Nothobranchius furzeri: one gene and its partners. The protein of the gene in region 1 purifies or fractionates together with the protein of each later gene. This does not show direct contact. Links are inferred from orthologs where the notes say so. Each region holds a gene or a part of one and is shown in the gene's direction. Other genes may lie near its edges.

Region 1 (5,604 bases):
TAAAACGGGGAGAAAAGCTAAGTCGGACAGTCCTGTTTTACTCCCAGTCTGGTTTAAAAAGCAGCTTTTCCACAGTTGATGGGATTTAATATGTGACACTTTTAGACTAACTGGTTAATGAATCCTTTCCCTTTTGGTTAACCAAACTAAAATATTTACTTTTTATGAACACATCTTTCTTGGCTTTAGAGATCTGAGCTTAGCCCTTAACATCACACATTTAACATCAAATCCAAAGTTTAGAAACATATCTCATCTTATTTTATACTCCAGGCTCCATTAACCCAAGCATGGACCATGCTATAGCTAGCATTAGCCTCCCTGTAGCATGATAATACACCAGAAAATGCTCGTCATCGTTTTTATGTTGTTGCTGTTTATTCTCTTTATAAGGATAGGTGATTACTTTTATCAGGTTATGTATCACATGACACACTCTGGGTGTGGTGTAGCTAGTATATTGTGTGTTTACACAGGTTCCTTCACTCTTTAGCTTCTACTCTACAAAATGAGACTATCTGAGAGCTTTGACCCCGGCTACAGCTGCGTGAGTCTTACTAACGCCTAGAAAACCAGGCCACACGCTCTTTAGAGCACATTTTGGCTTTCAAAATGATTTGAAGCATTCAAACTTAACGGATAAACTAACTTAAAAATCAAAATGTTTCAGTAAAATATTATAATAGTAAGCCAAAGCAAATAAAAAGGCACTAAATATTTGTTTCTGTCACATTTTGCTGGTGTGGAGACCTAAATAACACGAAGTCAGCAGCTATGTTGGGGTTTGGTTTTAAGGCCCGCTGTGTTACTATGGTAACAGAGTCCTAGCTCACCTGCTCCAGGTGAAACGTTCAGAATTAGGGTTTGTATAAACTCCATCGCTTTGTTTTTGAATGTCTGACTCCTAATTGCTTCGACAGTATTTATGCCATATTTCTACCAGATCCTGTAAGCTTTTAAATAAATCGGACAATCAAATTGCAAATAATTCCACGATCGTCCTTAACCGTCTGGGGTCCATGGACGCGTATCCGCGTCTTTTGAACAGGTCTGATTTGGGACGCTGTAGCAGCAAGACTCCGCCTCCCTGAGTTTTGGTTTCAATTCAGCTTTAAAAAGGAGATTATAAACTACACCCCAGATTTTAAACTTTGTTAATAGGCAATGTAAAAGCGGAGTTGTGGGCTCGACACACGGGAGGCGATCCGCGGCAGCGTGCATGTCTCATTGAACATGAATGGAGGAGAGGCGATGTCGCCTCCCGTGTGTCGAGCCCATTAGACTAAACTAAAAAAACGACCTATTTTTAGACAATCTGACAACTTGTCAAAACAGCAGAGGGAGAGGGAATGTGCTTGTGAACACAAAAACATGAGATCCTTTTGCTGTTGGTGGAAGTCTCACATATTCAGTTGATAAAAAGCATCATTATGTAGCTGAGAGAGAGAGGAAGGCCGCACGAGTAACGAGATGTGCGCACAAAGGAGCCGCTTCGCGGGGAAAGTATAGTGGCGCGAACGGAGTAACGACAAACAATTAGACAGATATTGACGGTAAACTTGGTATTTTGGAGCGATCCGGACAGATCTATTGTCTCTGCAGTTTAGTCAGCTTTTATTAGGCTTTAATAAAGGATGATGAGAAGGATAAATGTCCACCAGGCAGTTCAGATAGTACGGCTGTTTTTTGAACTGGAAGAAGAGGAAGTGGACGGACACTCACAGCCAGAGTCTGAGGCAAATAGCGAGGATGTTGATGAGGATGTGGCAGATCCATCCTTCCTCATAGAAGAGTTGGGTCATGATGAGGTGGAGGATGAAGGCAGAGATGCAGCTCCTCGGAGATCCAACAAGAAGAGTGGACGGCGCAGCTGACAGAGCCACTCTTCTCTCTCCAAAATGCATGTACATTATTGCCAAATTAATAAAATGAGTATAAATTCAGATAGTCCAGGTTGTCCTGAAAATAATGATACCCCATAAGGCAATATTTATTGTTTTTATTAGAAAATACAAAGGAAAACCAAAATGAGTCAAAAATGGTGATTTACACCCTGGACCCCAGAGGGCTAAGAATTGTTTTTTGTTATTTGATATATGTATTCATATGTTTTATAAATGTACAGTCTAGATTACCATTCTAAATTATAAAAAAAACATTCGTCATAAATGTTTGTTGGTTTCACAGTAAAATAAACAACTTTTTTCCTATTCAGATTTTATGTTTTTGAGTGATTTAAGGTCTAATATGCAACCCCTTTATGTCCAAATATAAAAAATAAGTATAAATTCATAAAGTCCAGGTTGTGCTGAAAAGACTGATACCACATAAGGCAGTGGTTATGGCTTTTATTTTGGAAATACAAAGGAAAACTCTAAATTAGTCAAAAACGGCAAATTACGCCCTGGACCCCAGAGGGTTAAAGGCCTTTAGGAAAAGTTTTGATCACACAACCTAACCACGATGCTTTTACTCGGGCACAAACCGTAACTGTAATAGTTTAAAGCAGGGGTCCCCACTCCTGGTCCTGGAGGGCCGCTATCCTGCATGTTTTAGTTTGAACTCTGCCAGTTCAACACACCTGATTTCAATCAGCAGCTAATTAACAGGCTTCTGCAGAGCCTGATGAGCTGCTGCACAGGGGTTTCAACCACTGAGGCCTAGTTCACACGTAGCCGTTTAAAAAAAAAAATGAATATCCGCCCCTCCAAAAACTTGCATCCACACCACCTCGTTTACAAAACAAAACTCTGTCCACACGTACCCGGATAAATACGTTGTTAAGGACATGCCAGACCTGTAGGCGGCAGTACTTCCCCCGTTCTTAACCTCGTCCTTCGTCTGTGGTCTTCCGCAAGGAGCAGTAATTCCGCTTGCAAAAACAAACAAGCAGAAAGCGCTTGGACAATTGATAAAGCGAGCGCAGCTCTGAGGGCATCCATGCTGTCGACTAGTGTAAACACAGGTCGCACACGTGATGTCAGCAGTTTTTTGTCGCGGAAAGTGACGTTGCGGGCCTTAAAACTCCGGTTTTGTCTGTCCACACGCAGACACCCAAAACGGAGAAAACGCAGATCTTCACTTTGGCCGGAGTTTTTAAAAAGATCCGTTTTCGTGTGAAAAAACTCCGTTTTCGTGTGGATGACAGGCCAAAACGTAGAAAAATATCTACGTTTTGGCAGATCCCCGGCTACGTGTGGACAGGGCCTGAATCAAGCCTGTTGGAGCTGAAAACCCACTAAACCTGCTGGATACCGGCCCTCCAGGACCAGGATTGGGGCCCCCTGGTTTAGTGTCATTCTGAAGTGTCTTTGTAAAAGTGTTTACCGTTTCCTTCACCCGTTTGCTCGGCTCTTCCAGATCCCAGAATACTGTCGCGTGCTGGAGGAGAGTGAAATTTCGGAGCACTGTTTCGACCTGATCTTTGCCTTTGATGAGATCGTGGCGCTCGGCTACAGAGAGAACGTGAACTTGGCTCAGATTCGCACCTTCACAGAGATGGATTCCCACGAGGAGAAGGTTTTCCGTGCTGTCAGAGAGGTGAGGTCACACAGACATGTTGAATTGTATTTAGTTGAATTAGAGAGGCGGAGAGTCCAGGGTGAGTGTGATTTGAGTTAGAATTGGGAAAGAAGACAGGACTAACTGTGCTGGACCGTCCTCAGACCCAGGAACGGGAAGCCAAGGCAGAGATGAGGAGGAAGGCCAAGGAGCTGCAGCAGGCCAGGAGAGATGCTGAGCGTTCTGGGAAGAAGGTGCCAGCGTTTGGAGGCTTTGGCAGTGCAGGAATGAGCAGCATGTCCTCGGGCTCCGTCATCACAGAAACCATCGTCGAGCCTGAAAAACCCAAGATCACACCAACTCCAGTCCGGTATCGGGCTTCCGCTGACTTCTTTCACAGCATCTGCTCTTTCTTCTGGTTTCTTTGTGTCATTATTGTTTTAATCCATCCAGATCAAGTGGACCAAGCAGAGCTCTGAAACTGGGCGCTAAAGGGAAAGAGGTGGACAACTTTGTTGACCAGCTGAAGTCTGAAGGTGAAACCATCATTCCTTCAACAGGGAAGAGAGGCTCAGATGTGTCTAAGGCTCTGCCAGCACCTGTCAATGTGGAGAGGTATGCACTCATCATGGCTAGGGATGGGTATACCTTTGACATTTGAATCGATTCGGTACTAATTCCCGGTACCTACGAATCGATACCGGTACTTAATGGTACCAATTTTCGATACTTTTCAGTGTTTATTATTTTAATTCTCTTTTATAATTAAATATATATTTTTCCCAATTTATAACCATATTTGATAAATATCACGATAAATAACATACAACTGTTTGTATTTTAACATCGTCCTTGTAGTTTTATAAGCTGATAATTGAACTGAGGCAAACATCTTTACTGTGAACTAAATTTACTGTGTATCTTCATTCCCTTTGCCGTCTTTTTTTCATTTGATTTTTCCTACTGGGAAGTTAGAATTTCCGAGGAGAAAGCGAACGCACCATTAGATGATAACGATAGTGGCATAGGAAGCTAACATATCAAGCTAACGTTATCTTAAACAGTTTAACTGCTGGAGCAGATTAAAACGATGATGCCTCACACTTAGATCGTTGTCACTGGTTTCATCTTCACCCAATCACCCGTCGCATTTAGTAAAGTGAAGCCAAACTTTAGAGCGTGTTCATGTTCTTCTAGTCGGAATTTCGGAGTTCCGAGGAGAAAGCGAACGCACCATTAGTGAAACGGAAGCTAACAAATCAAGCTAACGGTATCTTAAACATTTTATTTACCTACCAGAGCAGATTAAGATGAGGATGTCTCACTTAGATCGTTGTCGCTGGTTTCATCATCACCCAGTTAGCCATCACATTTAGTGAAGTGGACCCAAGCGTTAGCGTGCCTTCTTTCTACCATGCTGCTCTGTTTACAACTCGCTCGCAGCGACCAACGACATAACGCTCTTGCACATGCGCAGCTGTCTTAGCAAGTTCTCGTTGTGAAGGACGGGCACCGAAACGAGGCACCGTTTGAAATGACGTGAATCGGTGCTCGGTCGGTACTGTGGAATTCGATCGGTACCTTAAAAAGTACCGAATTTGGTACCCATCCTGATTTTAATGCTTTCTTTTGGGTTTTACAGCTTCTCAAAGTTTGTGGATTTTCACATATTAGCAGAAACACCAACGTTGCCCTGTAGCTGGAGATTACCACACTGAAGTTATAAAAAGAGACCCTGATCTGATGCTGGAGCTTACATCTGGATGTCCATGATATAATGTTGTTTTTATTTAAACCCGACTGCTTTGATCTTTATTTACATCTGTGTGGCTGTGTTTTCTGCTCAGCGTACACCTGCGTGTGGAGGAGAAGATCTCGCTGACCTGTGGCCGTGATGGTGGCCTGCAGAACATGGAAGTGCTTGGCATGGTGACGCTTCGGGTCACAGATGACAAAAACGGACGCATCCGCCTCATTATCAACAACAATGACAACAAAGGACTACAGCTGCAGGTAAACATAGTTTAGTGCTTGGTCCTTTAGCCTTTTGTTTGAGCTTAACTTGAGCAAATTATGGGATGGTTGTAGTGCTGACAGATTTGC
Region 2 (6,077 bases), on another chromosome or scaffold:
TATTATGTCCTTTAAAGATAGAGGAATTATGGCACATTTGGTTTAATTTTATCCTTCAGAAAAACTTTATCAGACATGAGTGGAAAAACCACTTCACTACCAGACAAAATGGGGTTTGTGCAGAAGGTTTTGGTATTGTAAAAGGGATTTTTCTTTCGGAGTCAACTTCTGGGAAGAAGAAAAAAAAGAGTGGATGAGTTTGATTAAAAAAAAGTAGCTTTGTTGTGATCTGAAAGGTTCAAAAAGATGTTTTTCTAGCTCAACATTCACCATGCAGTGCAAAGAGACAGAGGGTAAATCATAACTGGGTTTTCCTGATGCTTTCATGGCGGTAGCAACGCTCCGAAAGTGAGACAATTGAGGAACCTGAACATGCAGCATCATTCTAATGAATGTCTCAATAAGACGCAGGGTTATCTCAAGATGTTCTGATCTTGATAACATTTTGCAACAGTAGGTTGCATCGCTGGATTATTTTTCATTTATTTTTTGAATTTTCTGTAACCCCAAATTATTAAAATTACATTAGACAAACAGAAAAATACACTGTCATATGACAATTTATTATCTAGTTGTGTGCTAATGTTTTGTGTCAGTGTGTGTGTATGCATTTGTGCATGTGCCTCATGTATGTTCATAGCATGCGAAGGCTGGTTGGTAATGCACACGCAGAGAGGGAAGGCAGGGAAAGGAGGATGTTGGCTGGCGGAAGCTCTGCTTGATGCTGATAAAAGGAGCTCTTGGTTCTGAGAAAGGGAACTGCTAACTGCTGTGGTTGCTGCCAGAAGCTCATTGTACAGCTTCACAACCCCTCATCCTCTCCACCAGCCACAGTTATACTGTCTGAAATCATCTCAAACTCATATATATGTTTGAAAAATGACGTGACATCTGGGAACCAACTTCAGGGCGGCTTCCTCCTCGGTTTGGGGATTTTGAAATAGCTGTGATATTGTGCAACATTTCATGATTTTACAGTTCTGTTACAAATGTGTACAAACTAAGTTTGGATCTTCTAATTCCTCTCTACAAGCCAAGAGATCTCTTTCCATGATTATTTTGGAACTCAAGAGTAACAGAAGGTAACTGTAAGGCCACACAATGATGTAATTTGTGGATTGAGATAGAGGGAAATCCCCATCAGACTGCTTTTCCAAAAGTTTCCCAGAAGTGGGAAGTAAGATAATTGGAGGTGGTTAAATGTGGGAGGATCCTGTAAAAAAAGATGCTGATGAGAACGAGAAACATAAAACGGGTTGTAAATGGAGAGATTGCTCGTATGATGTTTTTCAATGCAGCAACCGCTGTGTGACACAGAGCTTCAGCTAATGAGTGGAGGAACCTTTAATTTTAAAGACAAAAGTTTTAGTTAGATATTGTTCTAATGATGCTTGAAAGGGTTCCTATGGACATCAAAAAGAAGGATTAGGTTCTAATTTTCTGGTTTAACAAAAGCAAGGAAATAAGATCATGATGTTAGAAAAACATATTTAGCTTTTTACGTTACAGAAATCAAGTTTGTGAAAACTTGATGAAAGAAAAAAGTTCAGTCTGAAATGCTAAACTTATAACTTTGTTGCAAAGCTACAGAATTGCATTTAATTTTTTAAACACTATCCTCCATTTACAAAAAGCAACAAAGTCAACAATGTTAAAGGTGAAACAATTTTAGTAAGCTTGTTAAACGGTGCTTATTGAGTGACAGTAAAATAAAATGCAGATTTGGATTTACGTTTATCATTTTGTGTCACATCATTGCAAAGTAAATGTTATGAAAGATTTTAAGACTTTAAAGTGACTTTCTTTTATTTTCCGTTATGTGACTTTTCAGCTTTTCGATTTATGGAGAAGAGGACAGCTATGGTTGCACCCTTTTCTGTAAAACCACATCCTTTTTTATATTGTTCATCAAAACATTAAACACGTTGCTCTTTAGTCTGCATTAGATGCATTGATGTACTCGAAGTTGCTACTAAATTGGGTACTATTATTTTGAATTAAAATGTTTTTATTTTTGATTGATAGTTTGATTGTAATAATCCAACACTGTATTCACAAATGCAGATTTTTATTTATGATTATTACAAAATGTACTAACTGGAATAATAACATAAGTGCATTTACAAAGTCCCTGAAACTGGTCAAGAATTAGTCAGTCATTTCTTTTGTCCACAGTTTGAAATATTTAATCTAAAATATTCAAATGTTCAATTTAAACACAAAGGCTATTCAGATTTGTTTTATGTTTTTATAACATTTATTTTTGTGCTTATTTTTCCCCAAATTTTTTTAACATTGAAGTTTATAATTTTATAAATTTTTGTTGTTCAAACTCCGTTCAATCTGTGCAGTTTTCAGGTAAAAAAAAAATTCACACATGATGAAGACTGTTTTGTCTATAAAGTTGTTAATAAAGTTTGTTTAAAAAAAGTCAACAGTGACGTAATCCTTGCTCTTACGCACGACGTAAGATGCTGGAATTGATTGTAGGCTAGTGTTAGCCGTGTAGCTGGTTTGCCAACAAGAAAGAAAATGGACTCGCCTATCCTGGTAATATCTAATTTATTTTTTCATGACGGCATAATGTTAGTGAAGCGTTTAACCTCGTAGTGTAAACATTTTTTTAAATTGTCTTCATAATTTAGGCGAAATGCTGCTTATTTAGCATCCTCCCGAGTTAACTTGACAGAGAGCTAACTACAGTGTTAGCTAACTAGTTAGCGTCGAGGAAGTATGTGTCCGTTTGTTGCTGATGTGGAAGTGTCATGTCCTCCACCTGACATGAACAAGAATACCGTCATGACAACATTTTTACAACCGTTTTTGATACATGTCTTAAGACTAAACGATCCTATTATGGCCTAATCACGGCCATTTTTCTTAAACTATCCTTCTTACTACAAACCTTAATTTCTAGTCCTTTATGTTTGTTTAAACACAACGCACTGTACTGCTGTCTTCACAGGAACCCTCTTTGTATACGGTCAAAGCTGTTCTGATTCTGGACAATGACGGAGACAGGCTTTATGCCAAGGTATGACTTTAATCCTGATTCATCTTTTTTACTTTAAATATTTTCTTCAAACACGCAAAGTCTGATTTAATGTCAATATTACAGCTTTTCACTTGGATTAGATCCCCCCAAAAGCAATAAGTTAATTATTCAACACACCTGATACATTTTCATAAATTTTTCATGACCTATTTAATAATAATAGATTTGAGCTGTACACAAACAGTTTTTAGATGTATTTGAAGGTGGTGATTGCAAAGCACTAAAAAAAAACACAGGAGTCTTTTGTGTAATTAGATAGAGAAATTTAATTAGACAAATTACAGGCGTTATTCCTTGGTCTGTTGGTCTGTTTAAAATTTAAGGTGTTCCTGATTTATATGGTTAACTATTTTAATTTTAATTTAATGTATTCATTTTTAAAATGTATCTTATTTACTTTTTATTGCTAAAAATGGTCAAAGCTGATGGCTCCTACCCCCACACCTTAAAGTTTTGTTTAAAAACAAGTTTATTTTTACTGACTCAGTATAATTCACATTATTCAATCCTTGTAATTTTATATCATAATTTTAAATATTGTTAATCATAGAAGCAAAGTTTTAAATGTAAAACTATGTTACTAGGTTTTAAATATGTTTGCTTCCGTAGTAGAAACCGTTTGGCTAACCCCGGCTTTCCACGGGAGCCGTCAGCAGCACGTTACTGCAGCAGCACGTCATAGCTGCTGATAGGAACCGCTGTGGTCAACAGAACCTTTTCCACCGGAGCCGCCGGCAGCCGTCAGCAGCGCGAGTCGGCCGCGTCTCAGGAGCAGCATGTCGCGGCCTTTACGCGCCGGTTCTATTTTCTACGCGCGACGCCTCTGAAACGGGTCAAGTTCGACATTTTTGGGGAAGGAAAGACAGGAAATCGAACGCGGAAATGGGGAGAAGCTCTCGAGATTTTCAGAATAAAGAACGTACTGCCTTCCGGTTGCTTTACTTTTAAAAACAGTTACTAACTGTGCGTCCCCGTGAGAAGTTATCACACAGCTAGTGGTCTCCTTTGTTTTTCAGGTCCGTATTGGCGATTATAAAACGGACAGAACATAAAACACAAACCATGTTGTAGTTTTCTCCTGCTTGTTGTTGTGTTTACTGACGAAGTCACTCGTGTGACTTCGTGCTCGGTCGGTGACAGCTGCTCCCCTGCTGCTTCGCGTCTCGTGGGAAGGGCCAAGCAGCAGCTTACGCGAGCAAGACGTGCTGCTGCAGTAACGTGCTGCTGACGGCTCCCGTGGAAACCCGGGGTTAGTGTCACAGAATCGATAGGGAAGTCAGACCTTTTAGAAACTTAATGTTTCCTATTTTAATGAAGAATATTTTACGTACCACATTATTTATATACTTTAATGTAAAATAATAGATTTATTTGAATTGTTTTAAAATGTACTTTTCTTCTTGGTGTGTCTGCAGTATTATGACGACACATATCCGACGGTGAAGGAGCAAAAGGCGTTTGAGAAGAACATATTCAACAAAACACACAGAACAGACAGTAAGCTAAGCATATTAAAGGTAATTGGTTTGCTTCAGTACATGACTAAAATGTGATGGTATTATTTGTTTGTTTGTAGGTGAGATTGCATTACTGGAAGGCCTAACTGTTGTCTACAAGAGCAATATAGATCTCTTCTTTTATGTCATCGGAAGTTCACATGAAAATGAGGTAAAACTGAAAGAACTTTCATGAAAAGTCAGCCTTTTCTTAATTATAGCAGATAAAACAGTCACATTTTAACTGCTAATATTTTCACATAATTACTATTTGTTGAAATTTGTTCTTTTTCAATAGCTTATGCTCATGGCTGTTCTAAACTGCCTATTTGATTCCCTCAGTCAGATGTTGAGGTATGTCTTGGTAGCAGTTTAGCACAAAATGTCAAATGTTTATAAACCATTAATCTCTCAGATTGGGATTGAGTTATTTCTCTTTAATTTTACAGAAAAAATGTTGAGAGGAGAGCTCTGTTGGAGAATATGGAGGGACTCTTCTTGGCTGTGGATGAAATAGTGGATGGGGGGTGAGTTTGAACCACCAATGATCTTTAACTAAAAACTTTTTCTTTATACTTACTGTGGTGTTTTGGGTTACTTACAGCGTGGTCCTGGAGAGCGACCCGCAGCAGGTTGTGCATCGCGTGGCTCTTCGAGTGAGTATTTCTCATCACAAATGTTCAACACGGTGTGAAAGTGTTGATGTGTGTGTGTGCGCACGCTGTAAACCTGTTGTAATACTTGTTCTTGTAGGGTGATGATGTACCACTGACAGAGCAGACAGTCACCCAGGTAAGAAAAAACCTCTACACTGATTCTGTCTTTATAATAAAGTTTAAAAGATCCATTAGTTTATTGATTGTTAAGTCTTTACCTCAGAGTGTAAAAGCTGTTATTGCATCATTCTCCTGTTTTTACTTTCTCACTCGCCTTCAGGTTGTCAAATAGTGTGTGTGAGTGTGTGATAACTAATTATTTGGTGGATAGCCAGTAGTGGTCCTTGTCTTTTCATTTTCACTCAGGCCCATCTCTCTCTCCCGGAGTGTGTGTGAGAGAGAGCGAGTGTGAGCTCCTCTTGATTAATGTTGTCATTTAAGAGGTCTGAAACTGCCCATCGCCATTTCTCCTATGGCCATGATTAATATCTGTGTCCAGTCTCTGTTTTATGGTTATGATTTGGCTTTCACTCAATCAATTAGAATGATTAATTAGACCTAGACTATTTATCTTCAATTATATCACTATGGTCATTTTTAAAAGCATTTTAGCAACTATTTGTAACTTTTTTGATGCTTACCTTATAACTTCATGTTCCTTTTTTTTTTTTAAACGTTGAGCATGTCGAACATCTTCTAATTTATTTCACACTATTATAGAAATGTACAGACTTATTTAAAGCAAAACAAAGATGTAGGATGACTCTAAACTTCTGCACAATCTTTTATTCTCATTAGGATTTATCTCATGCGGCAGCCATGATTTTATCATAAACAATTAAACCTTTTCTGAGCTGGAATTTTTCTTTT
Region 3 (6,165 bases), on another chromosome or scaffold:
GCAGGTCCAACTCTGAATCTAAAACCCCTGGTTATAATTCATTTGACATGTCTGCCTGGGCTGTGAATGATAATGTATGGCTCTACCTGCCTGAGCCCTGCACAGTTGGACCATTCATTCACTCACACACACACACACACACACACACACACACACACACACACACACACACACACACACACACACACACACACACACACACACACACACACACAAAGGGCTTGTTATATGAAGCAAAACTACATTGTAAACACAGCAATGTGTTAAAAAAAACATATCACTGTTTACAACCCATATACAACCCGATCATTCCCTGCAGGCTTGGTTTGAATAAACTTTGGATTTGCCCACTTAGTGCATAGAAGATTATTAGGCGTTTAAAGCAAAGGGGATGATAATTAGTTTCTTTTTAATGGAGGGTTTTCTGAACACCCACCATAAGGAAAGCACATCTAACCTATAAAGTTGGTGTGGAACGTTTTCTGTTTAGGCAATTTAGACAATAAACATAATCTTGTTGCATAGTTTAGCTTTTATTGAATCTGACTCAGTTTCTCATGACAATCACTCAAAAATGTTTAAATGAATAAATGAAATGTTGCATTACTTTATTAAGTGCATTGCTTTACGTTCCACACTATTACAGAACAGTTCAATTGGGATATCAAACGTTGAAGGGATGGGATATCTTGTTCTGAGGTTTATCACCAGGTCTCATTTGAATAAGTTCGAAAATAAGTAAATATGTGGTAAACAGGGGGAATGGACCAGCTTTAAGTATAGATCACATAGTTAAAAATAATTACTCCACAGTATCTTCTTTTATTATAATTTAAATCGATCAGAACAGTCGTTTAAATGCTAATCTCGGGAAATTTAGCAGCGGGTCGTTTTTATGTGTTTGACCAATTTCCGTTAGGTGAACATGGCGTCCCTCAAATTAAGCTAGTCTCATTAACACCCACCGTTAACCTCTCGGAAACGTTGCTGCAGCAGCCTCGTACTGAATTACTCGGAGGTGGCGTGAGTTCAGCCCCCCTCCTTGACAACAAATCTTTGTTCGTTAAAGTTTGAGAAGAAGTTTAATTTAAAAAACCCGTGAACCGCTAATATCACCGGGAACATGAACTCACCTTTCTCTACGGTTCACCGAGCCACGGGAGCGATCCGCCAGCAAAAGTTGACAAATTAATCAGAGCAAAGTCACTCAAGACTTCTTCATCCTTGCCACAGAGGAAGTGGTTTTACAACATATTCACCCCACTAACGTTACTTTTGTTCGCCGAATATCCACTATACAAAAGCAGTTCTCCGCTGCTCTTTTGTTCTGCAACCAGGCGCAGAAGTGTGAATTATTAAGAGTGTTTTCGTCTCGCGGACACTCTGAGATCGGTTACAAGTTTTCTGTTGGCGTAACCAGACTCCCCCCGCCTACTTGGTCAGAAAAAAAGTTTCAAACTTGATGTCGTTCTGAACCAATGAAAGAGCAACGAGAGGAGCAGAACAGCCCAAACACGCCCAAAGTAAAAGGCTCTTTAGGTCCAGCACACCCACTGCCCCCGTTGGGGTTTCCAGTAATTATTCTCGTCCAGGTCCGAATCCCACGGATGAAGATTTCCCTGAGGAAATGATGCTAAGGGAACAATGAACAGGAACCGTGGGGAGCAGTTTCTAAATCACCAGCAAACATGTGGCCCGTTCATTTTTGTGACATTTTTTTGGCACTTTTACTTATATTTGTAAATATCTGACAAAATAGAGCATTTAATGAGAGCATGCCTATTAACTATTACTCCTGGCTAAAACAAAAAGGAAAGTACATATCTCCGGGTGTTTTCAAGGCATGGGAAGTTTTTTAACAGCAGTTTAATGAGGCTGGCGGAAATTCCCTATGTCATATCCTTATTTTATTGTTCACACATCACTTTTTTTAGATCTGATAAATGGGCCAGATCATTAAATCATCAGCTCCAAAATTGAAACACAAGTATCTATCTATCTATCTATCTATCTATCTATCTATCTATCTATCTATCTATCTATCTATCTATCTATCTATCTATCTATCTATCTATCTATCTATCTATCTATCTATCTATCTATCTATCATCTATATCTATCTATCTATCTTGAAGCGCCCTCTTGTGGTTAAACGCGATAAGTCAAAATGGCTTCGTTCAGCTTTTTTTTTTTGCAGTGTTTGAACTTGATTCCTTTGAATTAATAACAATTAATAACACACTAATTAGAAATATAGGACGACAAAAATATTTACTTAAAATATATTTTAAAGTTAATTTTAACATAATTTGTGCCCAGTATAACTCTGCAATACAAGTATAAAATAATTTAAACATTATCCATGAATAGATAACGCCTAGTTTAAACATTATACATGAATAGATAACGCGCCGAGTCCACATTAAGAGGGGACAAATATTTTCTTCATGTCATTTTCGGTTCTTAGTTATTTTTGTTTTCTGAACAGCATTTCCCAGAATCCTTTGTAAAAAAGCAGGAAGCCTACGTAGCTTTGCGACGTGTCCGGAAGCTCATTAGCCAACATGGCGGCGCAACAGGGTGATGTTGATGAACTGTTCGATGTGAAAAATGCTTATTATATCGGTAGTTACCAGCAATGTATTAACGAAGCTCAGAAAGTGAAGGTAAGTGACGCATTTCCATTTATTTAAACGCTCGTTTTGTCGCGTTATTTATCTGTCAGTGTGGTTAACAGAGCAATTGAGCTAATGGGCTAACAACAACGACTACTCTTAATATTCTTGTTACTGATTTTGGTACTTACGTCTTGTGTTTGGTTTTTAAAGCCTTCGTCACCAGAGAAGGACATCGAAAGGGACATGTTTTTGTACAGAGCCTACATTGCTCAGGTACGTGTTGGTGGGGGATCAGCCTGATCTGAAGAGGCAGTGGACGTTATTGCTGACAGACAAAAATTCACCCTCTCACCGGAGGTTTTGTATTTCTTTGTTACAGAGGAAGTATGCTGTTGTTCTGGATGACATCAAGGCCAGCTCTCCACCTGAGCTGCAAGCTGTGAGGATGTTTGCAGAGTATTTGTCCAATGAAAGCAAAAGGTACAAGCATGCTTACACAATGCTCATTCATTTTGCCCCTAGCAACACAAACTATTTATATTAGTTAACCTCACCCTTTTGTGTAAAAATTGCTGTTCCAGTTGATTTACAAATTCATCTCTTGAGTATATTTTTACTTATTATGTTTGTTCAGGGATGTTATTGTTGCTGATTTGGACAAAAAGATGTCAAAGAGTGTGGATGCTGCCAACACCACCTTCCTGCTCATGGCGGCCTCCATCTACCACCATGAGACCAACTCTGATGCTGCTCTCAGAACGCTTCATCAAGGAGAAAGTCTGGAGTGGTAAGGGGGAATCCAGATTTATGTTTAAAGAGCAAGCCACGCCAAATCACCATTTTTTTTTTTGCTGATAAACTATATAAATGAGTGATTGGGCTGTAGACAAATGTAGTCAATAATTCGGCACTTTAGTGCATCTTAGTTCAAATTTAAATATTCTGCTTAAACCTGTCAGTGATGCACCATCGTCAGCTAAAAACTCGCACTACATTTTAATTTAAATCTGCCATCTCTATGGATAAGAGGTACACTATGATGTTAGATGGTAGATTATGATGTCACAATGTCGTGAGTGTGTATTTGTTAGTGGCTCCGCCCTCTTGTTCTGCTAGGCAACAGCATTTGTTGCATTTTTCAAACAGGAAGAGTGAGTTGAGTAAGAATCTGATGGGGGGTGACTTGCTCTTTAAGTCTGAATAGGATGATGCTTAGGATTCAAGGTTATTTCATTTTAACATATTACTCCAAAACTATGGAGCATATTTATGTGCTCTATTTAAATATAGAGAATATAAATATTCATTTATATAAATATTGAGAATATTAATAGAATAGCGTCTTTAAAATCATAGTTTATTCTAGGAAATTCTCTTGGAGTTTAATCTTACATTGTTAGAAAAATAGGTTAAAAGTAAACATTTATAAAGCTGCTTCATGGATTTGTGTTAAACGATAAAGAAGTGCAATTAAAAATGTATGCTTACAAATTTAGCATTCTGATTAATATAATTAAAAATACAAGAGTTGTTCTTTTTATTTTGTGAACTTTTAAATGTGTGGTTGGATTGTTTTATGGTTAAAAATATCAAACTGAGCATAATTCTGTGTTTATTTGTCAGTATGGCCATGACCATTCAGGTGCTTCTCAGTCTGGATCGTGTTGACCTGGCGAGGTATGGAGTAACTGTTTCACACCCTCAAAAATGTGTTTTCACGTACACACTAAAGATTGTTTACTAGTTGTATATGAGCTTTGATTATGGCTAACAGAGAATCTGCACATTATGACTCAAATTGTTTAATTTCTACATGACCTAATGGTCAAAATTAGCTTTTGGCTGTTTAATGAGGTATTTTGCTGCTAATTATTTATTACAGGAAAGAGCTGAAGAAGATGCAGGAGCAAGACGAGGATGCAACTCTAACCCAGCTAGCCACAGCCTGGGTTAATATTGCTGTGGTAAGAAATAAATATGAATTGTGTATGATTCATAAGTGAATGATCAACCACAAACTATTTGCTGTTCTATTAACTCTTGATGAAGCAAGAATTATTATTAGAGTGATACCACAAAATGTCAGCATTAATATATTGTGATTGTTATTTAGTTGGAACAAAACAAATTCATGCCTCCTCATCCAGTAAAGTCAGACGTAACAGGGTTCTTTACCACTAATATCATCTGAAAACCACAAGCTTCAGATGAAAATAAATAAACCCGTGTTGCTTTTGTGATTGCCTTGTTCCAGGGTGGAGAGAAGCTGCAGGATGCTTACTACATTTTCCAAGAGATGTGTGACAAGTACTCGTCTACTCTGTTGCTGCTTAATGGCCAGGCAGCCTGTTACATGGCGCAGAATAAGTGGGAGGAGGCTGAAGGAGTGTTGCAGGAGGCTCTTGATAAGGTTAGAGGACAGCAGTTCTGTCTCATCCTATCTGATGAGAGGAACTGGTTTATTGAATATTAACTGAATGTCTGTCAGTGTACCAGCAGATGGCAGCACATACTTTAGTGTTCAATAAAGCTCTTATTCACCTGCAAAGAATCAGTTATTTCACAGCAAAAAACTCATTTCCAAATGTTCGATTAATATAATAAATAAATCTTTAGTTTGGTTGTAAATATACGTTTTTTCATCTCAGTATTTATAAATGTGCTTTAATGTAAACTCTACAGCTTTGCAGTGTCTTGTGTTGGTCAGTGTTGATAAGTTTAATTTTTACAAAGCATCAGTTATTCATTGATATTCTCTCACTGTACAGGCAGAACAGGGTGTCGTGTAACTTTCAGCTCTGACTTTTCGATAAATAAATGATCCAAGGGTTAACTGCCTCCATAAAGAGAGGTTATTGTCCGCTTGTATAATCTCATTTTCACGTTTGTTTGAGAGGCAGAAATTTGGATTAGACAGGATCAGAGATTCATTCAACATCTTGTATAGATGAGAGGGGGAAATTGGTCATTTTCATTCAGATTTACCCTCAGAAAACACATTTAGGATCATTTTATCTCATCTTGTCTAGATTACACAAACTTAATGAAAATAAGCCTCCAGCTCTGCTCACATTGTATCTGTTTTTCCTCCCTATCAGGACAGCAGCCACCCTGAAACGCTGATCAACCTCATAGTGCTGACCCAGCATCTGAGTAAAGCTCCTGAGGTGAGACTTTGGACTCAGAAACCTTAAAAGCCCTTTCTTTTTAAAATGCATCAGTCGAACAAACTTCACCTGAAGTACATCAAACTTGTTTCCCCCGTGACCTTTGAAGCTTAAATGAAACATACACATTCATTCAACTATAGTAATCTGTTTTTGAATGGTTTTTAATCATCCCTTTGACACACATGCTAGTTTAGTGGTGTGAGTTACACAACCTGAGACTCAGAGTTCAGCAGATAAAGGCCTGATAATCAGACTCGCATTTGATGAACTAGATAGCAGCGTAACAGAATGCTGAGCAAAAACACGAAGACATCAATAAAAAGTCTCACTTGAGATTACCCACACCACCACGTCTCGCTGCAGGTTAACTGGTGAAA

What was found. The genes of interacting proteins can lie anywhere in the genome.
Region 2: the proteins of arcn1b (region 1) and copz1 fractionate together in Homo sapiens (co-fractionation; 5 studies listed by BioGRID and IntAct, with this or other methods). This does not show direct contact. The link is inferred for Nothobranchius furzeri from reciprocal best matches to the Homo sapiens genes ARCN1 and COPZ1.
Region 3: the proteins of arcn1b (region 1) and cope purify together in Homo sapiens (affinity purification with mass spectrometry; 4 studies listed by BioGRID and IntAct, with this or other methods). This does not show direct contact. The link is inferred for Nothobranchius furzeri from reciprocal best matches to the Homo sapiens genes ARCN1 and COPE.

What each region holds. Positions count from the first base shown.
Region 1 is NC_091753.1:20,846,196-20,851,799, forward strand, and holds part of arcn1b (archain 1b), read left to right. Parts: intron 1-3,360; coding exon 3,361-3,540; intron 3,541-3,665; coding exon 3,666-3,871; intron 3,872-3,954; coding exon 3,955-4,116; intron 4,117-5,348; coding exon 5,349-5,514; intron 5,515-5,604. UniProt on the Homo sapiens protein: Component of the coatomer, a cytosolic protein complex that binds to dilysine motifs and reversibly associates with Golgi non-clathrin-coated vesicles, which further mediate biosynthetic protein transport from the ER, via the Golgi up to the trans Golgi network.
Region 2 is NC_091755.1:25,754,130-25,760,206, reverse strand, and holds the start of copz1 (coatomer subunit zeta-1), read left to right. Parts: upstream 1-2,419; 5' UTR 2,420-2,532; coding exon 2,533-2,550; intron 2,551-2,965; coding exon 2,966-3,034; intron 3,035-4,470; coding exon 4,471-4,552; intron 4,553-4,631; coding exon 4,632-4,723; intron 4,724-4,849; coding exon 4,850-4,905; intron 4,906-5,000; coding exon 5,001-5,078; intron 5,079-5,155; coding exon 5,156-5,207; intron 5,208-5,304; coding exon 5,305-5,343; intron 5,344-6,077. UniProt on the Homo sapiens protein: The coatomer is a cytosolic protein complex that binds to dilysine motifs and reversibly associates with Golgi non-clathrin-coated vesicles, which further mediate biosynthetic protein transport from the ER, via the Golgi up to the trans Golgi network.
Region 3 is NC_091748.1:57,726,868-57,733,032, forward strand, and holds the start of cope (coatomer subunit epsilon), read left to right. Parts: upstream 1-2,507; 5' UTR 2,508-2,564; coding exon 2,565-2,666; intron 2,667-2,828; coding exon 2,829-2,891; intron 2,892-2,997; coding exon 2,998-3,098; intron 3,099-3,252; coding exon 3,253-3,405; intron 3,406-4,241; coding exon 4,242-4,295; intron 4,296-4,500; coding exon 4,501-4,582; intron 4,583-4,872; coding exon 4,873-5,028; intron 5,029-5,716; coding exon 5,717-5,785; intron 5,786-6,165. UniProt on the Homo sapiens protein: The coatomer is a cytosolic protein complex that binds to dilysine motifs and reversibly associates with Golgi non-clathrin-coated vesicles, which further mediate biosynthetic protein transport from the ER, via the Golgi up to the trans Golgi network.